Linked DNA regions of Yarrowia lipolytica. The protein of the gene in region 1 interacts with the protein of each later gene in a pairwise test. Links are inferred from orthologs where the notes say so. Each region holds a gene or a part of one and is shown on either strand. Other genes may lie near its edges.

Region 1 (3,002 bases):
CTCGTGTTGAGGAAGGCTGTGTATACGGTGTGTCCTCTACCACCATAAGATATGGAGAGTTTGGTTTTTGGGTCATTCTTCAATAATGGCTACGAAGAGTTACATATAGATTTAATTCCATAAAATATAATAAAAAGAACATAACTAATGATATATATTCGAATAAGAATATTGTGTATAAAGTGTATGAGAAGTGAACACCCACATCACCTCGTTCTTTTACTGCCCTCATATCATAGCACTTCAGAGCTGTCTGTATCACTTGCCGCGTTTCTGTTTCCTCCTCCGCCTCGTATGTGTAAATATATCTTACTAGTATAAGAACATAAATATGGTAAATAGAATATAACAAGAGCGACTGGATTTACAGTGGCTCGGCTCAGGCGTGGCGTGAGCGGTCGCAGTGAGTGCATCAGATGTACTTTGCTGGATGGTGTATTAACGAGAAATTGTGGTTCACGTTAGGAATGCCTGTAGACAAGGCATAGTCGCACTGCTGCTAAACCTATGCCAACAGCTCAACATAATTACTAGGACAGATACCAATCTCTCCATTGTCCCTCCGGGCTTGCCACCATCTTCCACTGATATCACTGACATCGAGAATCTCGCCCTTGTCGAAACTGATCTCGTTGGCGTCCTCAGGGTTCGCCTGGTACGCGTAAACCGCCCGGGCTCTGTATGGGTACTCTGTGGCCACAAAGAGCGAGTCAGTCGCCTGTTGTGGGGTGGCCGTCTGCTGCTGTTGCTGTTGCGAGAAGGCCGGGCTTGCCTGGTGTGGTTCGGCATTGGACGAGTTTTCAAACCCGCCGAGCTGCAGGCCGTTGTAGTTGGCGACGCCTCCCATTCCAGCTGAGTAGGCGGAGACCGGCCGGCCGGGCACGCCAAGGCTCTGGCGCTGCTGATCATGCAGCGAGAAGGGGTTAGACCGTCGCATGGCAAACTGGTCGTTGTTGTACGAGTGACCCTTATCGGCCGCGAAAGAGTCAACCCACGCATGGATGCCTGCCTCGTGGGTTGTGCCGAAATAGATCATCCACAGAAAGTTGATGATGGAGAGCAGAATGTGGCCTGCGCCGGACGCCGAGCTTGCCGATGTGCCGTTGTACACCACATTGTTGGTGGAGTTGGTCACATACATGGTGGCCAACGCCAGAAACGCCAGCAGCATCTGGCGGTAGGGCTCGACCGAGTCTGTGGCGACCACGAGGAAGACGCACAGGATGACAAAAAATTCGAACGCCAGACCCCACCAGCCAAAGTTTTTGAACTGGTCCGAGGCGCCGATGGAACCGCCCAGGGCGATAATCCAACCAATGATGCCGAGCGAAATGGTGGAGAGCGCAAACGGATCGCCCATCAGCAGCCCCAGCTGGAACTGCGGTCGGTACGAGAATGGCTGTCTCATGGTCGTGCGGTTGTCGTGGTCTGAGGAGGAGCAGGAGCTGCGTGAGTGTCGACTTTCCCAAAACACATTCGACTAAAGGAACGTGACAGGGGCATCTTTTGCATAAACGAAACCTAGTTGGAGACAGACGAGGAGAATGGGGCTCCCCAAAGTGCAGGTTTCTGAAGAGCTGTTGAGAAGCTTGAAACGGAAATCGACCATTTGAGCACTTTAGAACAATCGTACGCCTTTCGAACAGTCAATATCGCTTCTCATCGCCCCTTACACTCCCTCATCTACTCTCCGTCAGGGCCTTCAAAAAACCTTGCTGGCTGCTAGAGCTAAATCGCCCTAACGACTCACCCACACTGCTCTGAAAATGAACTCTATGTGAAACAGCCACGAAACAAGGGGCACAAGGGTTGAAGAGGAGCAGCAGGACCCTTTGAGTGCCAGTGAGAACGTTGGTGAGGGTCCAAGTAAAGGTGAAATCGCGTGCGAAAACCCAGTTTATGTAATAAATTCACTGCTGGCACCAACCAACCACCTCCCTCTACGTATATACTCATACATATGGCACCTATCACTTGTGTTTCAGAATGCACCCTGCTTTCCGGCTATGTCAAGGCTATATTGAGGCCATGTTGACACTATCATTAGACCGTTTTTCTCAGCGGCATCTCCACCTTCCACCACCAAGCGTGCGGAAATGAAGTCCTAGTGTTGTGGAAAATAATAATCTCCGTTTCTATATTTAGTATAATGGAGACCCTGGTTGTACAATAGAAGGCACGCATATTTTACCTGTACGTGTATCGAGTACGAGTATTGTAATACAAGTACAATACTGGCAGTTGTATACGATCCTTGCGCTTTCAGGAGGTTCAGCTGCTGTGACCACCCAGATGTACTGTGGTGAAAGTACGCTAACTACCATTTCTTACTACAAGTAGCCAGTCAGGTTCTGCTCACAGCGTCTCTCCGTTCAAGTGTCTTACATGCCAGGTACCCGACCCATGCCAAACACGCTATCGTTGCCTTTTCGTCCCTAGCGCATTGTTGTCATGTTTGTTTACAATGCGACAGCTTGAAACAGCCATGCTGCTGAAACATACCTGCAGTGGGATCAGATGGAAGGAGAGAGGTGGATATTTTTGAGCCCGTCTTGATGAACGAGGCGGTTAGTACTTGTGGGTGTGTTTTCGGGTGGTCTATTTGTGTCGTCGTCTCTGTGCTGTGTACACATGGTGAGATGCCAGTACATACAACGTACGTAATAAAAGTGCGAGTACCCGTACTGGTGCCAGCTACTACATTTCAAGTAAGACACCTCAAGATTTATCTCATTAATGGGAGAATTATGTAATGAAAATACCACAACATGAATAAATCGGAATCAATTGAATTGAATTGAAAGAAGTACCGGTACTGGTACTTGCGCTGTACATCCCTCAATGGCAAGCTATGGCACTTACAGCACAAGCACTCGTACTTGCTGTTTCTGATAACGCCCCGTATATATTGTATTTTGGCTTGTTACTGTATGTCTATGATCAAGACAAAAAGTGTCCACTATATCACACTCTCTGATAACACACTCATACCACATACCATG
Region 2 (5,435 bases), about 880 kb from region 1:
CTTGGCTTTTTGCGTGATTTCTCTGGCTCTCCGAGCCCCTTCTCTTAACACTGGAAGCAAGCAGGTTGGTGTCACCCTGGCTCTGTGTATCGTCATTCTGGTGGCCTACAGCTTTCTGCTGGCCAAGTTCCACATCAAGAACGGCGGCTACCCTTACCACCTTCTTAACATCTTCTAGACCCCCAAAACGACACCATAAATATATATTAGACCATCTGAATAGAAATAGAGCAGGTGTGTGAGTGAGGCAACACAATGTAAGCCTGGGCGACTGTAGCTACATAGACCGCAGTGCGGGTACCACATCTATCTTAAACGACAGTGCGTACGATGTTCGCAGGAGGTATGAACTTCTACCACTGTACAAATTAGTACATACCGGTTATGTGTACTTGTCCCTACTTATCGTATACACAACATGGCATTGGCATCTGAGTGGAACCATACATACGACCATGAAACAAACACGTTGTACAATTAATCAATCTATATAAATAATGTTAGCTACAGAGCCATTCAGCAAAGACGCTCCATGCACTGCCACTGTCAGTGAGCACCAGCGCCCGCCAGGGGCCGCTTTCGGTACACTTGACACTGAGCTCCCAGAGCCCGTGGGTGGTGGTGGAGTCGTCTTCCTTGAGCACGAGTTTTGTGATTTTGCCCGAAGGAGGCTGAATGGCGATTTTGGTGCGGGCAAAGCCGGAGCCAGAGTTGATGCCCGAGCTGGGGTGCTGCTTGATGGCAAAGTGGTAGATGTTGCCGACTGTGAGTTTGTAGCACTGGGGTTGGACCACATAGAGATCCTGCAGCTTGCAGTGAGGAGTGGGATGTCTGATGACAAACTCAAACTGCTGAGTGGTTCCACTGTGTGTGATGGGGAAGGCTGCCACGACAGGATGGTGGTTCTTTCTGTGCGATGAGTTCTTGCCCTTGGGACCACAATAGACGTTGACCAGTCCCTGTGCGAAACCAGGAGGAAGAACGGCCTTGACCCGGTAGATTCGCTTGCCAAACTCCCAGTACACCTGGCACAAGGTGGGCACCTTTTGGATGGTTCTGGAGGCTGCGTATTCAAGCATGGCCGAGTGTCCATGGGCAGCAAAAGAGCCCGGTTGCACGTCCGCAAAGATCTCCATGTCTGGAGACACAGTGAAGGTCACTTCTCCGACCTCGAGGTTCTTGAGCCGCATCAGAGTGGTGTCGTAGTTGGTGAGCTTGACCCGCGTGTCCCAGTACTTAGGACACAGCACAGGCAGTGCAAGAGCGGTCATGAGATCCAGAGGGCCGGGCTCAAGATGCTGGTACGTCTCCTTGGTGGGGATGTGCGTGTAGATGGCCTCCGCAGGGGAAGCGAGGAAGTAAAAGTCGTCGCAGGCTCGATCACTGGCTGCAGAGTACTGATATCGCAGCGGGAACGAAGGGTTGGCAAGAGTGCAGTCCATGACTCGCCATTGGTCATCCACAAGCACCGCATTCCAGAAGTGGTTTGGTGTTAGTGTGGATCGCGAGTCAAACACCCCTCCAGGGGCCTTGAGCATACCTGGGATAACCTGGCAGTGCACTCCCAAGGCAGCACACATATGCGACACCAACATGGCCACTTCCTGAGTGGTGGCCTTTCGGCTTTGCATCGTCGCTTGTAAGTCAATGTCATATCTCTCGGCATGGTCTCCAGTCCACTTGAGCTTCTCGGAACAGAACATGAAGACAGCTCGGAGCCGTTCAATCTCATATTGGAACTGTGGCATGACATGTCTGGACATGAGCAGGTGGGGAGTGGACGACGACGCAAGCGAAGACATTTGTGTTCGCACGTAGCGGTCCACGTGACTGAGATCAGTTTCAATCTTCCGTGGCGAGATGAGTTGCGCTGTTTTCTTGAGCGGCTCAATGCATCTGATACCCTCCAGAGCCAGTTTCTTCTGCCGCTCCTTACGTTCCACAGCGGTAACGGTGTTGGCCCTGTGGACATTCTGGCGAATCTCAATCCACTGTTTGGGATCCACAGCCGACTGCTTGACATTGCTGGTCTTGCTTGGTTCGCTCATGAGAGCTGCGGAGCTGAAGTTGCTGGAGGAGAAGGAGATTGCCGACAGAGACTTGATGGACCGGAGCGAGCGACTGGACTTGTTGGACTTGATGGAAGCGGTTCGTTTGGGCGAAGCTCGTGAAGACGGCGAAGACTCCACAAATGCTGTCTTGTACATGTTTGGAGTCGAGCCTGAAGAAGGAACTGTGTTGGTCACCTTCTTAATGAACTTCTTGAGGAAGCCCGTGGACTTTCGCATCTTGAGCGACTTCTCGGGACCCAACTGGTTGGGCAGAGCCACGGGCACCTCCGTGGCATCGTAGTCAGCGGAATCTGTCTTCATAGTGGACTCAATGTCAGCCATGTACTTTGTGGTCACTTCGTGGAGACCCTGGCGCATGTGGAAGTCAGCAGCAGAAGTGGCACTGAAATCAGACACAGTGGTCGGCAAAGAACAGCCCGAAACCCCAGACATTTTTGTCATCTCCGAGGAGTACGAGTTGACAGTGTCTGCTCGATGGACTCCAGCAGAACCCCCACTGTACGAGTCAGGCGAAAATGGAAGCTTGCCATAAGAGTCGGGAGAAAATGGAACATCTTCTTCGTCGTCTGAAGAAGCCGCACTCTCATTGTCGCCCATATGAAAAGTCTTCTGGCCTGCACTTTGGATCCAAGAGGACCGTTTCTCGTGGTACGACAACTGTCTCCTTGCCTCAGGTCGGTACGCCATTGGCGTATGGACAGCCCCGTATGGTCTGTCTTTGGTAGGTGTGAAATCTCTGTAGTCTTGTTGTGCTCTAGCACCTTGTTTCATACCATCTAGACTCAGCAGAACGTCGTCCATGGCGTTTCTGAGCGGCGATGGCGTCCGGTCGAGACCATTGTGTCGTGGAGTAATGTCTCTGTCAAACTTGTGGTTGACCAGATCCCCAGAGTAGTCTCCGGAAAAGTCGCCAGAAAAGTTACCATCATCCGAGTTGGTTCTTTTGTGGTTAGACAGAGATGAGTATTTGTCGTAGGTGGCATTGTGTGAGTTTGTAGACTGATTGCCGCTGCGTGTGTTGGAGGTTTGCTTCACTCCATGAGGAGGAACAGGAGGGTACAGTGGATCATGTCCCAGATCAATACTCTGAAGATGCATACTTAGCTTAGCAAGTGGGTCAAAAGACTGTGGCGAAGATTGAGCGGGATCCAAAGACTTGTAACCGCCATTGACGGGCTTAGCAATGTCCAGAGCAGACACTTCAGTCGAGGGAGACCTCGTCAGCTCCAGAGACACCTGAGAAGCGTCAGCTGAGCTGTATCCTCCGTTGTAGCTGTCGTCTCCGTCACACAGAGTGTACCGTTTCTGAGGCGGCTGGTGGGGTCGTCGGCCGCCCTTGGGCTCGTCCAGAACCACAAAGTTGCGAGGGAACACTCCAGTGACGTTGTTTCGTCGTAGTTTGCCAGTCCACCAGTTTCCGTCTCCCGTGTTGAGGACGTCAATGATGTCTCCTTCAATGAAGCCCAGGTCGTTGTCTTCCTCGCCCGACCACGAGTAGATGGCCTTGACCTGGCAGGGCAGGTACGGAACCGTGAAGGTGTCGGTCATGATGTGTAATGGTGTGTAAGCTGGTTGAAGAGGTTCAATCTGATCTTTCCAAAGTATCGTACTTGTAGAGACCGGGTCGGATCAGATGAGTCGTGCGGCAAGGGTGTAGTGTAAACTTGTAGGAGAACAATTGCAGCAAGGATGATGTGTAGGATCGCAAAACCCAAGGCCGGAGATGTCGTTTGCAGCTGGTCTGCTCTTCTCCTACTGAGCTTTACAGTGGTCCCTCTCCGTAGACCCTATTTAGGCACGGGCCAAACAGTCCAAGGTTTGAGCGAGCATGCCCGATCATGCATATCAAAGTTTATGGAGGAAGACAATGGGGCGCCCATAATACAGTGCAGAAGCCAAAATTGGGAAAAAGCAAGACGGTCACAGAGTGGACTGTAAATTAGCATGGGGCGAGTGCGAGGTGAAATAGGGGTTGAGACCAGTGGATATCCCGATGAGCGGAGTTATCGACCCAATGTTGCTCCTCTCCCGTTCCACCAGTGCACCTGCTGGCCTGCTGGCCTGCTCGCAGCCCACCGCCACCTCCTTACGTGCGTCATGTATCGTCTGACTGCAACCGTACATTCTTCTCACAAAACCATTGATGGACAACCGAGAGGAAGAGCCGCTGTACTGCAATAACGACCCATGCCGGGTCTACCAGGTACAGCAGCATCCGACTGCTCTACCTGGAACAAAACAACTGACTGATCTAGAATGAGACTTGATACCATAAGTAAAACGTGCTATTGCTATGATATCCCGCTAACCGGAATGTTTTCTGTCTATTCGTGGTGATTATGCTACAATTACTGTAGCTTTAGTGCGCTTTCACACACTAATGACCTGGGCTACAGTGGCCTATACTCATGTCTTAACTAGTGCAATAATATTACAGTACAACTGTACGGACCAAGAGTGTCACTCCAGCGAGATTCCACCAGGCTGGTGTCGGCAATATTATTTTGTGATTATTTTTTCCATTGAAACACTCGTCTCTCGGCTCTGCAAGTCCCACCCACACGTGTGGAGGGCACATATACGCGGTTGGTCACGGAATGGAGAGGGCAGGATTTTCATGCGGGCCGTTGATCGCCAGTGAGGTGAGGGGCAGTGAGGAAAGGGTCAAAGGATCGCTGGAATTGGAGATGGAGAATAATGAAGATGATTGCGACTGTCTATGTGTCTCTTGACTTGTTTCCATGAATAATATTCCCGCTAATATCCAACACTGTGCTGTGGAGCCATGGTCTATATTTTTTCAATACCCCACGCGCCCCACCAAACACGAAAAAAGCGCCTGTGGTAACTTGTTCTAAAAATGCACCCTTTGTTAACTTTTCGGAGCTGCTGGTTCTTCCTCCCAACGATAAGCTTTGTGGAACAATTGTATTGAGACAGACAAAGCATGGGGCTGAGACTGTAGAGACTGAAGTGCGAGCATCACTGTGGAACCAGCCGCGCCTTGGATTGGAGCACTTCTGGACATTTGAGAACAGCGTGTCATGTGATGAGAATGTCCTCAGACTTAGTCTATGTCTGGTACGAGTTCTGAACTTCTTCTATTCTGTTCTATACTCGCCCCTTTTCCACGAAATCATGTTCTACAAGGTACACTTGTCAAAGTTACGGGTGCCTTGTGTATGCCTGGAACATGGAGGCACGCGTACAAACCGCAGGAATATATTGGAAGGCAAGTTCTTTTTTCTCATGTGGTTTCACACACAGTGAAATCTGATACACGTTGATAGTTCTGGATGCCTGCCGGACGTGAAGCCCCGGTTCGCGGACATTTCGCCGGCACCCTCGTCGGCTCAGTGGACC
Region 3 (3,719 bases), on another chromosome or scaffold:
TATATAAAGAACAGCTTGCAATGGAAGGTGCAATAGAACATGGAGTTGAAAACTAGACGACGAGAAAAGCGGGATTGAACGAAGTCCCTTCTATTGTAATGTGTTGCCACTGGTCCATGATATCGACGGCACTTCTCTTCAGCTAGATCCAACGTAAACATGACTACACTGGGCCAACTCATAAACGAGTCAGCAGCAAGACCCTAAGTATCAGCTGCCTGAAAAGGAGTGGCTCGGTGGCTCGTTATCTCATGTTCGATTCATATGAATCTGTTCGCACATACCGGTAAAAGTACAGACAGCATGTAATCAAGAGACTACTTTCGAAACGAGCCAGTCGCTGTTGGTCTTTCACTAGTAAAGAATATCTGAAGAGACGCAGTACAGTATTTACTCGTGTTCCCATGCCTGGGTACAAGAGATGGACCGATAAGCAGTAGCTCTTTTACTACATCTACGCGTACAGATTCACTTGGCCACTCCATCTGTCAGCAGCCGGTCTGCTATTACTTGCCTTGTACTTTTGCTCGTTCAATATGCATAAATTATCTATTGTCTCTGCTGAAATCTGGAGATAGCAGGAGACACGTACTCCTCCACATATCCCTCCTCCAGTCGTCGCTTTTTGTTCTCTCGCATTCGTCGCTCTCGCTCCTGAAGCTGCTCCAGTCGCATCTGCCGCTCGTCCACCACACCCTTCTTTTTCTTCTTTTGCAGCTCCTTGCTGACGGCCGTCTCCTCGTCGGCCAGATGGGGTTGCAGCTCGGGCATGTCGTCGTCCGACTCTTGTGCCCGCTTCTTGTTGGGCTCCGTGATCTCCTCCATCTGCTCTCGGGCCGTCTTTCGTCGCCGGTCCTTGTCCATGGCGATTCGTCCAATGTCTTCGGGATCCATGGTGATCATCTCGGGCTGGAGCTTCTGCAGCAGTGTTCGCACCTCCTCCTCTCGTCGCTGGTGTCGCGTCTGGTAAGGGTTGACTTCCAGAGCGTCAAAGTTGGCCTCTCCGGCTCCGGGAATGATGAGTGAAGAGAAGCCCTCGGAGTGGCCTACTCCAAGGATGTCTTCAAACGGCACAAACTGCGCGCTGCTCACCTTCCAGTCGGGATGCATGTTGTGTTGCATATAGGGCTGCTTGGGTCGAGGAGCAGATTGCACGTCCTTCCACACGGTGATGGTGTTTCCGTGGCCCACAGAAAGCAGGTTGGAGTCAGACCAGTTAACCGTCTGGGGCGCCACCTTGGTTCGGGGCAGACGCAGCACCTCCTTGTAGGTGTTTCTGATATCCCAGACCTTGACGGACGAGTCGGAGCCAGCCGTGGCCAGGTATCGTCCTGATCGGTCGACAGAAACGTCGTTCACGGGGCCTCGATGGGCCAGCATCTTGACCAGAGGCTCGTCCACGTTGGGCGACCACATGGTCACGGTTCCGTTGGAGTGGCCGAGATTCATGATGGCATTATAGGGGTTCTGGCACTGGGAGGTGGTGGGGCCCAGTCTGGTCTTGAAGGCAGCCACTTGCTTACCAATAGATACATCCTGGTAAAAGAGCATGCTGGTGAGACCCGACGATACGAGCAGGTAGTGGTAGGGCAGGAAATCGAGGTTGGTCATTTCGATCTGCTGCTTGAGTCTGTGTACTTCGGATCCCTGGTGGTCATAGATGAAGACATTCCTTTTCTGGGCCACAGCAAAGTATTGGTCGTTATGGAGCCACTGGACCGCACGAACAGTCTCGTTGAGGTTGAGTTCAAACTGTAGACGTCCCTCTCGCCAGTCAAACGCTGCCACATGGCCCTTTCGGCCTCCAATGAGCAGCTTTCGGCCTGTTCGGGTGAAGTTGATGTCATAGGGGCCAAAGTCGGGCAGCTTGAGGTCGTAGGCCTTTTTCTTGGTGGAAATATCAACCGACGCCTTGATCTCCTCCTGCGTCACCTTGTGGGTCGCCTCCATTTCGTTTTCGGCCTCTAGAAAGCCCTGTTCCTCCAACAGCAGCATTTCTGTCTTTTTCGCCGCCTCCTTGGCCTCCTGGGTGTGGCTCTCCACCCGCTTGAGATCCTTACGGAGCTCCTTGTTTCGGGCCGTCTTCCAGGCCGGCTTCTTCTTTGGTGCTTCAGACATGGTTGGTTGTCTATTGGCTGCTGTATATGGTGCTGGTCTGCTGGTGCTTGGTGATAATTCTGTGATGTTGGGGCCTAGGGGAAAAAAATATTTTAAACTTCACCACCTACATATTGCATTGCATGATTATATAATATGGAGTAGTGGCACCGGTGAGACCACAACCGCTTCTCTTCATCCAGAAATGTCGAATATGTTGGATTTTCCGGCAACAAACATAATGTCGCATGCTAACTACAAGTATGCAACTCTGTGTTTGTTTGCTATCCTCGTCGGTTGCATTGAACTCAGCATCGTCACCTACCTGCTCTGATTCTCTTTATGGTTGACCTGTGCGGCTCTCTAATGGCCGGGCTATGATAGAGAAAGGTACTAAGTGTGTATGGGGATGGTTGTCTGGAGGACACGTATGTATATATATTTATATACTTGCAGTGGCCAAACTAATTTTTAGAGCACAGTCGCCACATCCCCTCTGTAACGGCTCCAGCCCCCAGCTAGCTATATATAGGTCGCCATATCCCTGTCTTATCGGGTATCATCAACAGTGCCGAAAACAATGTTGCCTGCATAACTTCAAATTTTTTTTTTCGCCCAAAGTGCATGAAGGCAAAAAAATCGAACAGTGAATTTTCGCACAACACACAACATAGTACCAAACAGAGCACAGCTACCCGACAACTGACGCCGTCAGCAATGAACACAATTGACCAGCTGTTCGAGCAGGACTTTAACGACGACTGGAAGAAGGAATCGTCGCCCCATGGAGACCCCTCCAACAGTCCCGAGCATGGCAAGAGGGCTCTAGAGACGGAGCCGGCATCTCCAGCCAAAAAGGTCAAGCTGGAGAAGGATTCCGAGGACCAGGAAATGGCGCGCATGCTGGAGCGAGATCTTGCGTACAAGTCGGAGCCCGACGACGTGAATCTCGCCACTCCCAACTCTCTGACGCCCGGATCCGAATGCGATGATAAGGATCTCAAGAAGGAGATCAAACCCATAGAGATCATCGAGATCGAGGACGATGACGAGGAGAATATCCACACGGTCTCTGCAGAGACCAAGAGGGATATCAAAACCGAGATCAGCCCCGAACCCGTAAAGATCGAAGAAATCCATAGCCCCCCCGACTCGGGCTCTCTGCCTGAGTTTCTTGCATCGACTATGGATCTTCCACAACCCCCCTGCTACTCCTACAGCCACATTCCCTCTGTGTCCTCGTCTGCCGCCTCGTCTGTTAGTCCCTCTATGCCTCCCTCCACTCTTGCCTCCGCAACTGAGGAGCCCGAGTCCAAACAGAACATGGACGAGTACCTGGGCAAGATCTTCAACTTGTCTCCCGAAGACGACTTCTTTGCCACCGGAGGGTCAGACAACTCGGTCACAGACTCGTTTGCCTCCGTCAGAGAGCTCAAGCAGCAGCTCATGTCGCAACACACCCTTATGACGACATACACGTCGCTCAAAGACGTGTACCAGCGAGTGTGCAAGTCTCTTAAGGAGCGCAACGCCGAGAACCGTCGGCTGGCCAACCACATGAAGGTGCTGGTGGGAGTTATCGAACAGAACAACAAGAAGATTGCCGAAGTCGAAGACTCCAA
Region 4 (5,959 bases), on another chromosome or scaffold:
TGCTGGAAAATTATCCGGCCTGGCATAAACTGTCAAACTACTCTGTATTGAAGACGACAGCTGCGCAATCGCCCCAGGCTGAATCTCCGTCAGAGTCCATTCTGTCGTCTAACAGCATGTCTTCTTCCGCTACAGCACCCTCGCTGATTAGCTCATACCTCTCGTTACAAATTAAGGAGTCCGAAGTGCGGGAGGAAAACGAACGTTTGGCCCGCCAGAAACTCATTGACAAGCGCAACCAGCAGCGGGAACAGAACAAGCTTTCTAAGAAAAACTCGTCGTCGTCCATTTCCATCCGACGTATCTTCTTCTTCTCTCTGTGTATCGGACTCACCAGTGTCATTCTGGCCATATTCATTTCCCCCAAGGACAGCCGGTCGTATCTCACCAGACATTTTGAGGCTGGAATCCAAGGATCCCTCCAGCTCCTACACCGAATTGCTACTGGTCAGCATTCGTTTTAATTTATTGCAATACAGATTCTAGCTACACATCGTTAACACGGTAATTTTATCATGATTATATATATGCTTTTGGCTTGACGCCTTAAAGTACTTCGTGGCCTTGAGCAACGTTGTAGTCACTGGCTCCGGCAACCGAGTCCGAGTAGACATGAGAAGAGCCCTGGGGTCTAAGAGCAGGGGAAGAGTTAGCAGAAAATCCTTGGTGGTTGTAAGAAGGCATGTGAGGATCGCTCATCCACGCGTTCTGGGGAGGCAGTGGCACGTAGCGTCGCTTGTCCATTTCAAAGTCTCTCCATCGCTTCATGACAATCTGAGACGAGTCAAATTCACCATCCTCCTCGTCGTGGCCTCCAGAGCCCTTCTTTTCACCAGCAACCTGTCGAGTGTCACCCCAGGAGAAATCATCAAACTTCCAGTATGCGTAGACGGGGAGCACAAAGTTCCAAATGGGAAGAGATAGCAGGTAGATGAACATCCACACGACGTATGACCATCGAGATGCTGTGATGATAATGAGAAGACCCGGCAGACCCAAAATCAGAGCCAGCAGAACCAGCGACATGACAGGCGTAGGTTTTCTCACAATGGCAATAATGACAACGTAGATGGTGAACGAGATGGCGGCGGGAAGAATCAGGGTACCAACAAGCTCGATGAAGACAACAAACTGCATGGAAATACAGAAGACACCACATAGATCCTTGACCAGCACCAGCTCCATCAGGTTATGCACAGTGGAGTTAATCCATCGTCTTCGCTGAGACAGCAAAACAGAAAACTTGTCGGGAACAATGGTCTTGCAGACAGCCTTGGACACAAACACCTGTTTTCGCGTGGGGAAGGTCTTGAGCATGAGGGAGGTCAGGTATCGATCTTCTCCGAGAAGCAACAGGTTCTTCTTATGCAGAGTGTCAATCACGTTGTCAGCGTATCGCTCGACGATATCAGGGTTGGCAAGAATGGGCACCCAGTAGCCGTCTCCGCCCTTGGGAGCCTTGATTCGGTACATGGAGAAACAACCAGGCAGACAAGTGACACCACCAAAGACGGACTCAAAGGCCTTAGCCTGGTGATGAGAAATGTAGTATTCAAACACCTGGATCGCAGTGACCCAAGAGTCTCGCTTGTTGGCAATCTTGGTTTCTCCACATAGTCCCATAATCTCGGGATCCTTGACCATCTCAGCCACCATGTGGGTCAGAGAGTCAGGGAACACCTTAGTATCGGCATCCACCATGAGAATGATTTCATAAAAGTCGGGAAGAATACCAGTCACTCGCCAGATACCGTTGAACATCTCGTGCTCCAGCTCGGTCATTCGCTCGTCGAACATGACACGCTGCAAGAACGACATGAGAATGATCTGGGAGTCTCGCTTACCTCGGTTACCAGGCTTGGCCTCGTTGGCCTCAGCAGGCGTACCGCACTTGACAATAGTCACAACGGGGACTCGCTGCTGCTTCTCAGGTGGAACTGTGGCATCATCGTAGGCGTAGAAACCAGAGTAGACCTTGGCCATGTTATGACGCTTTGTACCAGAAGAAGTAGATACGTAAGAGAAGGGTCTCACCTGGTCTTCGGGGATAGGCATATCACACATCATACTTAGACAAATGTCAGGGGTAGACATGTCGTTACCGGAACCCTTAATAATACCATCGGCAATGATAACAATGAGTTTATGGGAGTTAGGGTAGTCGGTTGTGGTGATAGAGTCAAGGGTGGTTCTCAGACCGTCAATCGACTCGGAGTATGCAGTCACCAGACACATGGTGTGGGCGAGAGGGTAGTTGAACGGTTGGTAGTCGATGGGGGGCTGGGGCACAACGTTGACGGTGGGCGCCTCGTAGGGCTGAGATCCAGAGTCGTAATCGTAGACAACACCGCCAACATCAGTGTTGGAGTCGATCGCAGCGGAGTTTCGAGAGTAGACGGAAGGAGCAGTTCCACTCTCACCAACCTGGGTCACCATTGTGCTCATTCGCTTGTTCTTATTGTCGTGCTGGTTGAATCGGTGCTTGATGAGGCCACGGAAGGGAGTGGCACTGGACTTAGGCTGGTCTCGGTCCACTCGCTTGATGGGAGCCTGGCTGTAAATGTTCTCGGACCAGTCCTCAATCTCGTTCTCTCGCTGGTTCATCTGCTTGTTGTCAATGGGGAAAGCTCCCTGCTTGGCAGAAATGGCCCACTTGTAGTAGATAGCAAATAGGAACTTGACGGCGACAATGGAGATAATGAAAACCAGAGATACATACAGAACAACCTGGGAAGCCAGACATCCAATCTGCTCGGTATCAATGTATCCAACCTTGGCAATCTCTTGCAGACATCGGGCAGCCTGTCGATCAGGACCGTTGGCCATATTACGAGAGATATCAGTACCCTTGATGGAATCGTCATCTCGCAGAGTGTCAAAGATCTCGGGGTAGTTGAGGTCGTCCTTAAGAATGAAGTTGACCATGTTCAGGTCAATGACAGCTCCGTTGAACACAGCCAGGTTTCGAGTAGAGTTCTTGATATCGTCCCAGGTGAAGTAGACCTCACCGGCATCAACCAGCTGGTGGTAGTAGACGTTTCGAGCGGTGGTGGAAGTGTGGCATGCGTAGCCGGGGTAGAACTGCTCAGTAGTGTTGGGTTGGGAAGATCCGTCCTGGTTGAGCAGCTGGCAGGGCATATACCAGGCAACGCTGTCGCCGTTGTAGGGAATTTTACAGTCGGGCTTGGGGGTGATTAGACCCTTGCAGTGGTTGTTGACGTTCTGGAACAGCAAAGAACCGTCCATGGATCCAGCATTAACAGGAGGGTACATGAAGTTACCGCCAGTAGGAACCTCGACTGTGGGAGGGTGGTTCATAGAGGTAAAGTCGTATTGCTTACCATTAATGATGAGGTTTCCAGAGTTGACTTCTCCGTTTCGCACTCGGGTGATGGAACTGGAACAAACTGTGATGGTGAAGCCGAAAGTCAGGTATGCAACAAAGGCGGCAATGTAAAGAATAACAGTGATGAGGCCAATCTTTTCTCGCCAGGCGTCCTGTCGGGCTTTTTGGGGCATGCCAAACATCTTGAGCACAGGAGCGGGGGCCCAGAAGGTAACAATCTGACAGTAGGTCATCCACAGCGAAATCTGCTTGGGTTGGGTGCCCATTCGTCGCTTGACGGAGTTGTGTCGCTTCAGTGTTCCTCCTCCACGGCTGAGCTGAACCTTTTCGTTGACAGGTGGGTCGATGATGGGCGGTTGGGTGTCGGCAGCCTGTTCTTCTGATGAGGAGATTTCGTCCGACTTTCGCACGTAGGCCTCGGTTTGGACCTCGTCATTGAGACCATAGACCTGACGGCCCGAGTAGGCGTAAGGGTCCTCCTCTCCCTCTCTGTATGATTCCTCGTTTTCCTCCTCTAGCACCTCCTGGTTCACGGCGTTGTCGTAGGGCTGATCGTATCCCTGACCAGGCTGGATCTCGCCAGTCTCGCGCATGTAGTGCTCCTCGAGAATAGGGTCATTTCCGGTGGAACTGGGAAGCACGTTGATTCTGCTTTGCTGCTGGGCGGCCAGCTGCGAGTAGTGATAAGTTCGCGAGTCGGGGTCGAGTCGAGCTCGGTCAGGTCGAATGAGAGACTTCTTTCGTCCAATGTCGGGGGAGAACGAGCCGTCGCCTCTGTGTTCACTGGGGACACTGCCAGATGTGTCCTGGGGGCCAGTGTTGGGCTCACCCGTCTCCGAGTTGAATCCGAATTTGTTGTACGAATCCACTGTGTTAGTCATGTGTTTGCTGTTGGACCACACGTCAGGGGAGGGGGTGTAATGAAAGAAAGAAAAGAAAAAAAAAACGTGGTCTTGTGGGGAACAGAACGCGTAACGCAGGTCCAGTCGTGGGCCGCGTACTCACTTCTTGTGATTGCTCCGCGCGCTTGAACAATTTAGTCGAAATGTACTCACTTTGTGAAGCTCAGGTGCAATATCCAGCTACTGTACTGTAGTAAAGTAAGGATTTCGATGTTCGAAGGTTTCTGTTTTTCCTTGGACTGCGTTCCAAAAATATACAAACTTAAAATTTTGAGCTGTATGGGCACCTACAAAGTAGTCTTATTATGGCGAAGGGTAAACCCCAGGAGGCTAAAAAAAAAGTACACCAATGTTTGAGTCATAAAGCAGGTACAGTATTTCCGGCGCAGAAACAAATGACAGATTTCGGTTCTTTGTCGCTTTTTCGCCTCCAGCGGACTCGTCATCGACAATAGTCCCTGCAATGCACCACGTGAGGCGGCTATAAATAGACGACTTTTTAGCTAAGGGGTTAACTTTGACTTCGCTACCGACACGCGTCGGTGGCTGGTTTGTGTGCAGGTCAACTGTGTCTCAATTTTATGGTCACCGCTGTTGGGAGCAACCTATAAAAAGCCGACGCATTAATAAGCGTCTGGGGATGAAGGCGCAAATGAGGTAGACAGCAATAATACTTGAATATGATCGGGTAAATAGGATAAAAGCAGAGGCGAATCGCGCTTTTCTCCAATAATATTTATTGTTAGGGCAACATTTCGTCCACTCAATATACACTGATGACGTCATCTACAGTATTGGTGGACAAGGCAATTTTACCAGGACGATAATTAATTACAGTAATCTTGCTGCCATAAACGGATATGCCCAAAACGCCTGTTTCATGACCCTGTTGGGTGCACACAGCCCTCAGTAGCTGCAATGTATTTCCCTACTGTAGAATAAAAAAAATACCATATACCCGCGAAAGGTTGCGTGTTAAGCCACATTTCTGTTGATGCAAATCTATCACTAAGCGACGGTATGTATGAGCTGTACAGTATGTAAGGTATGTACTATTACAAAGCCATTCAGATGTCAGGATGGGGTATGGATTGATGCGTAAATACAATGACCAAAAGGGATGCACCTTCGAAGGTACACAAGAATATCAAATCAGTAGGGAGTAAGGCGTCAGCAAGAGTTCTGTACGCTAATGCAAATAAATAGAGTGGTTCGGCGCTCATTGTGAACATGCTGGTGTCTCAGACACCTTGGACCATCCGCCCATCATCTCCTCAATCACCATGTTGTCCTTTGATCTCCCGAGGCCTAGGTAGTGCTTGGTGAAATCGTTATTGTCCTTGGAAGGCTCCTGAGAAGTTAAGGTCGTGTCGTTCATTGCACCACCGTTCAACACTCGGTTCTGGAACACCAGACGAATGTCCCCGCAAAGATACAGCTTGTCATTGTCCAGACGAACGATAGGAATGTGTGCAGCATGGACTAGGGTGCCTTTGGAGCCAGGGGTGCTCGATGCAGAATAGACCTTTTGCCGAATAAATGTTCGGGTGCCGCTGGGCATTTCAGCAACGTTGTAGGGTATCAGAAAGAGCTTGACTGCTGTCTTTTGCAGGTTGGATACCACCACTTGGAGCTGGCCCACGGGAGGTATCCGGTATCCTGGAAACGTTTTGACTCTGGTCCTTTCACTGGGCTCTCCTTGTGTCGTTTT

The links.
Region 2: the proteins of YALI1_D05070g (region 1) and YALI1_D13916g interact in binary tests that used the Saccharomyces cerevisiae proteins (3 or more experiments, as listed by UniProt). The link is inferred for Yarrowia lipolytica from reciprocal best matches to the Saccharomyces cerevisiae genes SHO1 and CYK3.
Region 3: the proteins of YALI1_D05070g (region 1) and YALI1_F13446g interact in a two-hybrid assay, tested with the Saccharomyces cerevisiae proteins (2 studies listed by BioGRID). The link is inferred for Yarrowia lipolytica from reciprocal best matches to the Saccharomyces cerevisiae genes SHO1 and UTP7.
Region 4: the proteins of YALI1_D05070g (region 1) and YALI1_C33406g interact in a two-hybrid assay, tested with the Saccharomyces cerevisiae proteins (2 studies listed by BioGRID, with this or other methods). The link is inferred for Yarrowia lipolytica from reciprocal best matches to the Saccharomyces cerevisiae genes SHO1 and CHS3.

The regions. Positions count from the first base shown.
Region 1 is NC_090773.1:505,674-508,675, forward strand, and holds YALI1_D05070g (uncharacterized protein), read right to left. Parts: upstream 1,409-3,002; coding exon 506-1,408; downstream 1-505. UniProt on the Saccharomyces cerevisiae protein: Plasma membrane osmosensor that activates the high osmolarity glycerol (HOG) MAPK signaling pathway in response to high osmolarity.
Region 2 is NC_090773.1:1,388,044-1,393,478, forward strand, and holds YALI1_D13916g (uncharacterized protein), read right to left. Parts: upstream 3,621-5,435; coding exon 501-3,620; downstream 1-500. Other genes in the region: YALI1_D13871g (uncharacterized protein), read left to right, coding at 1-178. UniProt on the Saccharomyces cerevisiae protein: Involved in cytokinesis by recruiting INN1 to the bud neck. Cooperates with INN1 to stimulate the synthesis of the primary septum (PS) by CHS2.
Region 3 is NC_090775.1:1,342,518-1,346,236, forward strand, and holds YALI1_F13446g (uncharacterized protein), read right to left. Parts: upstream 2,119-3,719; coding exon 550-2,118; downstream 1-549. Other genes in the region: YALI1_F13452g (uncharacterized protein), read left to right, coding at 2,722-3,719. UniProt on the Saccharomyces cerevisiae protein: Involved in nucleolar processing of pre-18S ribosomal RNA.
Region 4 is NC_090772.1:3,336,391-3,342,349, forward strand, and holds YALI1_C33406g (uncharacterized protein), read right to left. Parts: upstream 4,228-5,959; coding exon 547-4,227; downstream 1-546. Other genes in the region: YALI1_C33354g (uncharacterized protein), read left to right, coding at 1-464; YALI1_C33427g (uncharacterized protein), read right to left, coding at 5,468-5,959. UniProt on the Saccharomyces cerevisiae protein: Polymerizes chitin, a structural polymer of the cell wall and septum, by transferring the sugar moiety of UDP-GlcNAc to the non-reducing end of the growing chitin polymer.